Caenorhabditis elegans: one gene and its partner. The protein of the gene in region 2 interacts with the protein of the main gene of each other region in a pairwise test. Each region holds a gene or a part of one and is shown on either strand. Other genes may lie near its edges. The genes, in order: slfl-5 and F53G12.4.

Region 1 (5,964 bases), on a different chromosome or scaffold from region 2:
ACTGAATATTTATTTTTTAATCACTAGCATGTTTCACACTTTTTGTAATTTTCAGTATGTTCTTAAAGTTAGTTTAAACTTTATCACATTAAGCATTCTTGTATGTTCGAAACCCTACAAATCAATTACAAATTAATTTAATGTAATCCAAGTTAAAAGTTTTTTGGTCAACCTTCAAAACTATGAAATGTGAAAACTGAGTCATTTCTACCGTTGTGAGCATCATATAGTGATTTTAAAAGTTTTTACTATTGGCGTTTCACCAAATTTAAAATGGACTTTTAGTCGTTGAACAAAGTTGATATTTACAATAGAATTATCTAAAAAGAACCAATTATATCCTTTGTCGTTGATCTATGATTTCATTTTAAGTGACAATTATTGAGTCAGTGAGCAAAGTAACAATTTGTAACGACTATATTTACTCGAACTGTGTTTCTATTTACTTCTTGTAGACAGTATATAAATGTCTTACAAGAATCACTCTGAATTTTGTGTTCACAATGTTTTCAATTACATATATTGCTCTTTCTGTTTTCTTTTTGATTCATTGCTCCGATGCTTTACTCAATGTTATCGGAAGCACTCAAAGTGTTACTGTAACGGGAAAATTGGTTTGTGAAGGACAGCCAGCCAGTGGAGTTCTCGTGAAGATGTATGACGATGGAACGAGTAAGTTATTATTTGGAAGAACTGTTTTGAAACAATTGATTTTTTCAGTATATGACTCGAAATTAGGTTCGACGACCACCTCATCTGATGGAACATTTTCTGTTTCTGGAACATATACAGATATTTTAACATTGGATCCAAAAGTGAATATATATCATAGTTGTAATTACAATGGACCATGTTCAAAGAAAGTGACAATCAATATTCCTGATTATGCAGTTGCATCTGGAAGTAGCTCGACTGATAATTATGATATTGGAACTTTGAACTTAGCTAATCAGTTCAGTGGAGAAACCACTGATTGTATCCATTGAATGTGTACTTCCTAATAAATTTGTTTCTAGAATAATTGAAATGGGACATCTAGGAAGAGTGAATTCAGTTCATTTTTAAAATTGTAACTAAAAAAGCAGTAGCGCAAAAAATGCTACAAAAAATGAATAGAATGAGTGGGGGCACCTGGAAGAAGAGAAAAAAGAGGATCTAGAGTATTTTTGGAGACAAAAAGGTTCACTTAGTGAACAAATATTCAGAATTGTACAATTTCAACTATGTACAACTATTATCAACCCGGAGCAAAATGTAAACACACGGGTACCTAGGAGGAGAGGGCAAAGAGAGAGAGAGTGAAAAAAGACTACAAAAAAGAGGTCTACACAAAATATACAAGATAATTGGGAGGGGGGGGGGGGGGTGGCAGTAAAATTTAGAGATTTTCAGACTAACAATTATCATTGGGTGCACGGAAATACTTTTAATACTTCTCCCATTCCTTTGGTTTTTCCTTGACGAAGAATAATTGGTGATCCTTCACGAATGACTTCTGGTTGATAGGCGAAACACATTTTAACTACAGCCCATTTTCCTGGACGGATGCAGTCTGCATCGTCGATGTGAGTAATAATGGCAGTTGTACAGACACTTCCGATAAACACTGAAAAAGTTCATAAATTATTTCAGAAAAAATCAAAACTGAAAGTTGAAATGAGAAAAAGTACTCACCTGTGGCTTGAAATCCTTCGCATATGTATTTCGTCGAGTGACACAGCAGTAAAAGATTGGCAGTGAATTCGTAACAAACTGGTGGTTGATGATCGATTTCAGCAAGAACCATTCCCTTTAATGAAAATAATCAATATGTTTCACATTTCGAATGATTTTTCTGTGGAAAAAAATACTTACCCTTCTTAGACTGACACCGTCTGGAAGATTCAAGGATATCGATGCAGCTTCACCAGGATTAACACATCCTACGGCTTGCCGGCTTCTTCGAATCGACCCGACAGTAATTTTTTCAAAAGTTCCATCTTTCATGGGTCCAACAAGAACATCTGCTCCTTCATGCAATTGTCCTTCAGATAGCATTCCTCCAACTACTTGTCCAACATGAGGCACATTATATAGTTCCTCGATTGTGAAAAAGGCTGGGAGTCCAACTAGTTGAATACGTGACTCTGCAGTTCCAGCTGTAGAAAGGCAATTGAGAAGTGTTCTGAGACAACGAAAACCTTCTCCGCTCACTGAACTAACAGCAAGAACTGGTACGATACTACCAACGCAGAGTTCTTGTGCCGCCTTCACTGCGTCTCTTTTAGTTTTCACTCTTTTCTCGCGAGCTGTCATCCCTGCTTTCGCAACAAGATTGGAAACATCTTTGATGATTTTCTTAAGTCCTTGTCGATCGACTAGATCCATTTTTGTGATCAGTACAAACATTGGAATGTTTAAAGCGGCAATTAATCCAAGATGTTCACGAGTGGCCCACGTGATTCCTCGATCGGCGGCTACAACAAGGCAAGCGAAATGAGGAGTGTATCCGGTTAATCCATGAATTGTCGTTTTCTGATATTTTGCGTCTCCAGCCAGATCGATAAGTGTTACAAGTTTTGAAGACTTCTCCACCATTTCTTCGAGACTATTTTGTGCATAATTGACTAGCTGAAAAAAGTAAAAATTAGATATTTATAAATAAATTTAAAAAAATCGAATTTAAGTTTTTCAAATAAAATTTTTCTAAATTCATTGTTTTTGTATTCAAAAGTGGAGTAGAATCATTTTGAAATTTTGTTTTGAATGAAAAAAAAATTGACCGTAATAATCGATTTTAATTGATTTTAAAAGTTATAAAATCTTTCTAACTTTTTAAATTTTTATTTTTGATAATTGGGCGGGAATTCAAAAACAGATTTTTATTTTTTTATTTTTGCAAAATTGAAAAAATTATAAAAATTTTATGATTTTTTGAAACAATTATATTCGGTATTACCGTCCATTTTTTTAATTATTTAAATCAAAAACCCTAATAAATAGGATCCAACTTTAAAATTTTCAATAAAGAAATTATCTACAATTTAATCAGTTTACTGTTTTTTTTTTTAAATATTTTCAAGCATATTTTAACCCATTCTGAATGTTTCGAAAAATTTCTAACCTTTCCACGATTATCGAAGCCAATGACATCATTACAGACAGAACTGGTTTTTCCTGTTCGCACTTCGTGTGGAAATCTGAATATTCCAATTCTTGCTTTTCCGTTTCCGTCGTCCAGACAACCCTGTGTTAACACTCCACACAGTGTTGATTTTCCGACATCGCATCCTCCAACGACAGCAAGACGAACTTCGATGAATTGCTGGCTTTCAGGAACCTTTCGGACAAGTACCTAGAAAAATAATTTCATTTAGATAAAATATGACTCAATAATAATTACCTCGACTACAGTTCTCCGTGAATTTGATCCCTTAACAGTAACGTCTTTCTCGGTCAAAATAACCATACTCGCCCCAAGAGCTTGGGCCATCGTTCTCAAGGTCCGAAGTGAATCATTCAGTTCCTCGTCTGTTAATCCAGACATTATTCCACCATCCTCAACGCCAATTTCATAAATAGCCTCTCCTTGACCCTCACGAAGACGCCATTTCATTTGAGTGATCAGATGTTGTATACGAGATGTCGTTGGATTTACTAATTTTGCTTTGTACTCAATATTTCCAAGCTCCGTTTCAGGTGGCAATCGGTTTTCGGTGTCGGAGTCGGAACATTCATCGTTAGTTGGCAGTGAAGAGCTGAGAAGTGTTGGTCCATTTTTAGAGTCCGATATTGATTGTCGTCTGTAAAAAATAATATAATATACTACCTTAAATGATTTGGCGACATTAAATAAATTGAATTGATTTTATATCAATGTTTTAGAATTGATTTATTTTTTATAAGGAATTTAAATAAATGAATTTTGATTTTAGAAATAAAATTTTCAAATGTTAACCACACAATATTTATCGTACTCACCTAGTTTTGTAAAGTGGCTGATGATTCTGCTCATCGCAGAAATGTGAAATCATAAAATCCATAGTGAGATTGAGTTGTTTATTATTTTATGAAATGAGATAATCAGTTGGATAACTACTGCTCACGCCGTATTCGATCTATCATTCGATTCTCCGATTCTGGAACATCAAATTTTAATCATAGGGAGAGAGGTTCGGGTACTTGAGAAAAAAATGTCGTGTTTCGAGAGGTTTTGAAAAGTCAGTTGTTAACTGGTTCGGTCAACATGTAGAGATTGTAGAGAAATATGAGAACTTAGAGAATTGACGTATGAAGAGAAAAAAGTGGGAAAGGGGAGCCGCTGTTGTTTTCGAAAGAAGAAAATAAGACAGAAAAAATCGGAGAGGAACATAACAACAAGTTAAGTTGACTTTTGAACTGGAAATTTGTCAATATTGAAAAAAGGAACAGTGAGAAATATCGATTTCCACGTCGCTCGATTCTATGAAAAGAAATTATGCACACACAAGCTTCACAGTGAGCATGCTGAATGATTGAGCAAATACATGAGAGAATAAGAGAGGAATGAGATGAAAAGAAGCGTTCAAATCAAAAGAAACCAGACAAAATGGCGATTTTTTACGGGAATATGAACCTACTGATTGGCAGTGGACAGCTGGAAGAATAAGAAGATACTGAAGGAAGGTTGAAGTTGAAGCTTGGAAGACAGATGATGAGAGAGAGGAAAACCTGTTTCTTTTTGATTACGATCGGACGGAAATGAGAAGGAAGTAAGTGTTTTCACACGTAGGTGGGCATTGAGATCTTTGAAGGTGCATTCGACAGGTTAATAATCATTCTAAATACCAGGTGACAATGGAGGATACTTTTAAACAGTAAATATATTGGAATAAAACATAAAAGTTAGTCTTACTCAGAATTTCTAAAATTTCAGCCTTCTGGAACGAAAGGTAAAATCATAATAATAATACAAGTGGGGCTGTTAGTAGCCCTAAATACAAGTAAAATGACCGAACACAGCCGTTAAAGAATGTTGCAGAAAATTGCGAAATATTTCCTTACTCTTAAGAACAACATTCGATGTGACGCAATATGATGCATTTCCTTAGACAAAAACGTTCAGTTCAAAATAAACAACAATAAAACCGTTTGTACGATTTCTAGAATACGAGTTTATCAGTTGTTCGGAAAATATCTTATCAATCGTTTGACTGATGTTTTTTAACCATGTGAGAATTTGAAAAAAAATTTCATGATTGCCAAAAATTAAAATAAACAGGAAGCTTTTACCGAGTTTTCGTGATTTTCAGAATGAAGAAATTAATATGAAGCTCAAAATCAAAAGCAGAGGGAAAAGAAAAAATCGAAATCTTCTTTCGGTTAAACAACACGCGCTTGCGGAACTTCGGAGCATCGTATTTTGTTTTTGCGCTCTATTTTTGAATCGGAAACTGTTTTTTTGTCAGTTTTCGAAATTGTTTTTTTTCTGTTTTTTTACTTCATGCAAGAGTTTAACTTTACGCAAAAATTAATTAAAAATACGCAGAAGGCCCACTTTACACAGGAATTAATTGAAAATACTCAGGAATTTCACTTTACTTAGTCCTTTTTCCAGAGTTTCCAACGGAATCAATATATTAATTTAATTTCGCAACATTTTTCTTTGAATAAACCTATTTGCAAATGAGAATGTTTCAGATATTTGCTTATCGAAGCCTGGGAATTGCTTATGGCGAAATTTTTACGCGTAAGTCTGCAAATTTATTTTTACTCTGAAAATACTAAATTTATGAAAATTTCAGCTACACATCAGAGGAATTCGAAGTGTCGGTGATGAGGACCACGATGTTCACAAAATTGATTTCCTCTCTCCGTGCACACTAATCAGTGGACCAAATGGAACAGGAAAAACGGTAAGATCAATATGATTAGAGCATCATAACTTTTTTTTAAATTTCAGACCACCATCGAGGCACTCAACTTTGTAACCACCGGACAAATGCC
Region 2 (5,229 bases):
GGTTGTGGGCACTACCGCTCCCCAAGGGGACTAGGTTTCCGTGTGGAAGAGAAAATGTTTATACTCTTCCATGTTATTTGCCAATAGAGCGGATTTGCATCTGCGAGGATGGATGAGTTGTTATGCCACGCAGCTAATCCCTATGGCCTTGGACTTTTTCTTGGTAACTGAAAAGTTGCTTTCCTAGCAATCGCACTAGCATCAATGAAAGAGTTTTTTTCGTTTTCAAAGTCATCAGGACTTACCCAGAAATTTACCAGTAAGAACTAAAATAAAAATAACCAAATATAAATTGAGAAAACTCATCTCTCACAGAAAATCGGCGCCAAACTTTGAAAAATTACACTCAAATATGGTTTTGTGTACATTTTGCTCCTCTTTCTCAGTGGCTCCGCCCGCTCGACACACATTTGTTCGTAGTTTGCGCGAACTTTTTTCAAGTTGAATTGTTGAAATTCCTAGGTGAGAATTTATTTATTTCAAAAGAAATTTTTTAAAAGAAGAAAATTTTAAAAAGAATAATCGGATCCTCCGGAAGATAGTAGACCGGTGTCGAAATCTTCAAGCTCGTCGATTGATTCTCCTGAAAATTTTTTATTATTGATTTTTCAGGAAATTCATCGATTTGTATGTAGAGGCATGTTTTTTTTTTACTTTTGCTCCGCAAGCGGAATATGCGCCTTTAAAATTATAAGCTACAGGAACAATGATCGATTTTTAGGAGAGTTGCATAATCACGTGCTCGCTGGCTGTCTCAAAATTCACGTTTTCTCGCGGACGAGAAAACTTGAGAAATATGAGAAAATGGCCTAGAAAATCCTGGAAGAGGAGAATTCCTCGTCCACAGCCAAAATAGCGTGTGAAAGAAGAGATGCAGACGGCAAAACGGTTATTCTTTGCGTTTTTCACGTTCAGAGAAAAAAGTAGTATCTGCGTCTCTCACGCCCAATGGATAGCGAGAGTTGGCGCAAACGTGAATTCTCAATGAGGCGCGTTTGCTTCAAGCTTATGCAAAAGGACAGCCAGTGACCACGTGCATAATTTTTCGAAATTTTTGCATGGTGCAAGTTCAAAGTTACCTTCTGACAAGACCAACGGCTCCACTAGCTCCTGTTCCTTTGGTTTCGCTTCCTCCTTCTTTTTCTCCATAGGCAGTATAGACTTTTTCTTCGCCACGCCATCCTGCTCGAAATCCTCTAAATCATAATCCACGTTATCCGAGCCGAAAATGGCGTCGATTTCCCGACTTTTCGCGCTTTTTGTCAGCGGTGGTCGTCCCATGGAGAGCGGCGGAAGATGTGCGTTGAAAATCGCCGGAAGTGGGTCAGAAGTGCTTGCCACGTCATCAGTGACTAACGCGGATTTTGACGGACCCCATGCGTTGGGAATTTGGCTTAGTTCGATCATTTTCTCCGCGCCAGCTGCTGTGGGTTTCCCCAAGATATCCGAAAAAGTCAACTTCTCCTCGGAAGATGACGACGCGGATGACGTGGAAGAGTCGGAGGAGGACGATGAATCGTCGGAATCGTCTTCTGCCTGGTTGGATAGACGTGCGAGCTGAAAAATCGATCGATTTTTTTGCCAAGAAAAGTAGGAAAGTAGGACTCTCATGTCGGCGCCGCAAACGCCGCTCTCACGCCGCGATCTGAAATCTTTATAGCGATGCGCAAAATCCAAAAAGTGTCGGACCCGGAGTGAAGTTTGCACCACATAGTGTCATACGCTGGCACTAAATTTTACGCGCGCGCGCAAATACTTTTTTAATCATCATTTGAGTGATTTAGGGCATTGAAATTTTTCTTTTGAATAAAAGTCGCGAAACATCGATTTTAAAAAATCGCCTTGTCGACTTTTGTTAAATATTTCAAAAAAAAATTATTTAACGCAACTCACTCGTTCCCTCTCCATTTCCATCCGTTTCCGCATCGTTTTTCGAAATTCCTCATCACTAAGCGGTGTAATTTTCAACGGTGCTCGCTGTTTATCGACCATATTAATTTTTGCAAACGGGCGGCCGGCGCCAATCGATTTTATCGATTTTCGTTCAAAATCGTCACCGGTGCCATCGCGAATATCGATTTTCAGCTGACTTCGCAATAGATTATCGATTTTTTCCCCATTTTCCACGTGTTTTTCTGCACTCTCCATGTAGTTTCCAGACATTTCTGTTTTCAAGACTTGAGATGATATTGGATATCCATTCTGCTCGAGCCAATCGGCAATCATGCTATGGGTGACACGTTCTGTAAATTTTCAGAGTTAAGGCCACGCCCAATTATAGGATTTTCTTCAATGTGGGCGCACGATGTTTTTTGTTTAAATAGAAACTATGTTATCGACAAAAAATTGCACGCGCTCAAATTATAAAAAGTGGGCGTGGTAATACCATGTGTCGCGTTTTTTTTCAAGATTTCATGAGAATTACATGAAGATATATATATATATATAATCGAAAAAATACGATCGCACAAATTTCTCATAATATATTTTTTATCTACCTTGTTGACTAGGCTCCTCCCCGTCCTTCGACAAGACAGCTACAACAAAATAACAACGGCAACAAGATTGGGGGCGGAGTAAAGTTCAACAGGTAGATCAAAAATAAATTATGAGAAATTTGTCAGATCGTACTTTCTCGATAATAATTTTCAATGTTTTTTTCAGAAAATGAAATAACAACGCCTATTTTGCAGTTTTGCAAAAAGTGGCCGTGGCCAAAATACCCGTAGAACGCGGGGTTGCACTGAATCCTTGATTTTCTGACATTTTACCTATTACGGAAACACAAAATTCTGAAAATGCATATTGCACAATATATTTGACGCGCAAAATATCTTGTAACGAAAACTACAGTAATTCTTTAAATGACTACTGTAGCTCTTGTGTCGATTTACGGACTCGATTTTTGAAATTTATTTATTTTCGAATATTTTCGATATTACACTTTCATTCGTTTCTTCGTGTCTTTATTTTCTCATTTTTATCTAATTTTAAAATTGAGCCCGTAAATCGACACAAGCTCTACAGTAGTCATTTAAAGAATTACTGTAGTTTTTGCTACGAGATATTTTGTATTTTGAATTGTGTGTTCCTGAAAAAATTTTGAAGTTTTTAAGTCGAAAATTGTGATTTTTTTGGCGAAAAGAGCATTTTTCATAAAAGAAAAATCCTTTTTTTTTCAGAAAATTTCAAATTTTCTAAAAATTTCACCTCTATACGTCAAATCCCTACTCGTTTTCTTTGGCGTTTCCCCCAACGTGGCACTTATCGTCGCGCGGATATATGTCTGAAACAATGGGACACCTCAAAATATAATAAATATTTTTGAATTATTAATATATTCAACTATTGTGCTATTATTACCCGCAATGGTGCATATTGTGGCAATTCGGACAATTGATCGGCCAATTGACGCAGGATAGGATTTGTTGAGTGCATTTAATAATAGTAAAGGTATAGTATAGGGCGTGCGCGAGTGAGCCAAAAGCTCGGGGAGTTGCTATGGATACCAGAATATGGAGAGACGACACGAATCGCTTCATTCACATACACCAAAATCTGTGGAATATATCAGAACTTTTACAAAATACGATAAATTTGATGGGTGAGGTGGGGATCACTCGAGTTTTTAATTATAAAGAGGTGCTATAAATATAAAAGGCCTCTCAATTCTCCGTTAGTTGTGCGTAGTAGAGAGGGGGAAAATTGGGAGTTAAACACTAGGTGAGAGATAGAGAGAAAAGAGGAAATCCTTATAATATATATAATTTTTGTTTAAAACATGAGTTGGTCGTCCTATCATAATGCAAAAAAGAATAATAGAGAAAGTTACAGATTTTCCAAAAAAACCTACTGTAGGAATATATATTGGGGGACTGCATGGGTTACATATATAAATATATATAATATAGATATTTCAAAAATATGAATAACAAATAATAATAGTTATATATAAATATATGTGATTTTTTTCGTTTTTTTTGTCTAGGATTTTGGGGTGAGAATGATGGTGATTTTTGTGTGTTCTAGTAATGTAGTAAAGAGGTGAGAAAATGGGAATGGAGGGACTCGTACACCGATGAACAAAGTAGAAAATGGGAAAAAGAGTCTTTTAAAGAATGGAAAGATGAATTTGGAACTCGTTGAGGATGGGTTTTTGCTAGATGAGAGTCTACACGATAGTAATGGAATGATGAATGGATCCACAGCTTATCCATTGATCGGCACGAGAGTATGATCGTTGTGATCGCAGGTCGATGAAGTCGGCGAGGCAGATGCTGAAGCCAACGATCCTGGGCTCAGATTCATGTTTCCGCCAGACCAGATTGTGCTGAGAAGACCGAAGCCGGCGGATGTTCCTTTGAGGGAGGACATGAGCCTGCAAAAAATTTGATTTTTCATAAATTTACAATTGAAATTTTCTAGTTTTTAAAGAGAATATCACACTTTTGTGGAAAAAATTTACGACTTGATATTTCGAGATATGTCGAAATTAAAAAATATGTATGATAAATTGTAAATTTCAGTAATTTTCCTTTAAATTTCAAGTTTTTCTCATAAAATAAATAAATTTAACTTTACCTCTTAAAATTGGAATTTCACCTTTTTCTCTCAAAAACGAGGTTTTGAAAAAATCAATTTTTTGCATGTGAAAAAAAACATATTTTTTTGAAGTTCAAAAGAAAATTACAATTTTTCTTTTATTGTTCAAAAAAAATTTTCTTTTTATAGATTTCTGACGGACAAAATCCAATTTTATTTAAAAATTTTTGAATTTCAAATGAAAATTATAATTTTTATAGAGAAAACTACGATTTTACTCTTTTTTATTTTCAAAAACGGATAGGTTCAAGATTTCGGAAAAATAATTTTTTAATGTGAAATTTTTTAAACATTCTGAGTTTTAGAAACGTTATTTTTTATTTAAAAAATTGATAAGAAGCCGTCAGGTTCCGAGTGGAAAACACGAAAACTTGTTTTTTTTTTAAATTTTTTAGCGGAAAATCAAATTTTCTTTCAAAAATTTAGAACTTTGAAGGAAAATTGCAATTTTTAGTTTTATTTCAAAAATTTATAAAATTCCTTCAAAAATATATACCCATTGGTTGGGGATTCCTCGCGTTTCTCCAATCCCATCGACGACCATGCGGACAGGGCATCGTACTTGCGGCTGAGAATTTCTGAAAAATCCTTATTTGTCATTTAAAATTCTTATTAAAATTCGCAAAA

Evidence for each region.
Region 1: the proteins of F53G12.4 (region 2) and slfl-5 interact in a two-hybrid assay, tested with the Caenorhabditis elegans proteins (2 studies listed by BioGRID).

The regions. Positions count from the first base shown.
Region 1 is NC_003283.11:12,240,927-12,246,890, forward strand, and holds slfl-5 (Tr-type G domain-containing protein), read right to left. Parts: upstream 4,119-5,964; 5' UTR 4,105-4,118; coding exon of another isoform or gene 4,075-4,104; 5' UTR 4,023-4,074; coding exon 3,961-4,022; intron 3,783-3,960; coding exon 3,383-3,782; intron 3,335-3,382; coding exon 3,104-3,334; intron 2,611-3,103; coding exon 1,855-2,610; intron 1,790-1,854; coding exon 1,675-1,789; intron 1,607-1,674; coding exon 1,404-1,606; 3' UTR 1,045-1,403; downstream 1-1,044. Other genes in the region: ttr-22 (Transthyretin-like family protein), read left to right, coding at 504-672, 721-986; rad-50 (Zinc-hook domain-containing protein), read left to right, coding at 4,720-4,730, 5,659-5,707, 5,763-5,873, 5,921-5,964.
Region 2 is NC_003279.8:132,563-137,791, reverse strand, and holds F53G12.4 (LisH domain-containing protein), read right to left. Parts: upstream 3,456-5,229; 5' UTR 3,439-3,455; coding exon 3,364-3,438; intron 3,287-3,363; coding exon 3,211-3,286; intron 2,244-3,210; coding exon 1,894-2,243; intron 1,558-1,893; coding exon 1,080-1,557; intron 584-1,079; coding exon 510-583; downstream 1-509. Other genes in the region: mex-3 (K Homology domain-containing protein), read right to left, coding at 4,210-4,378, 5,099-5,180.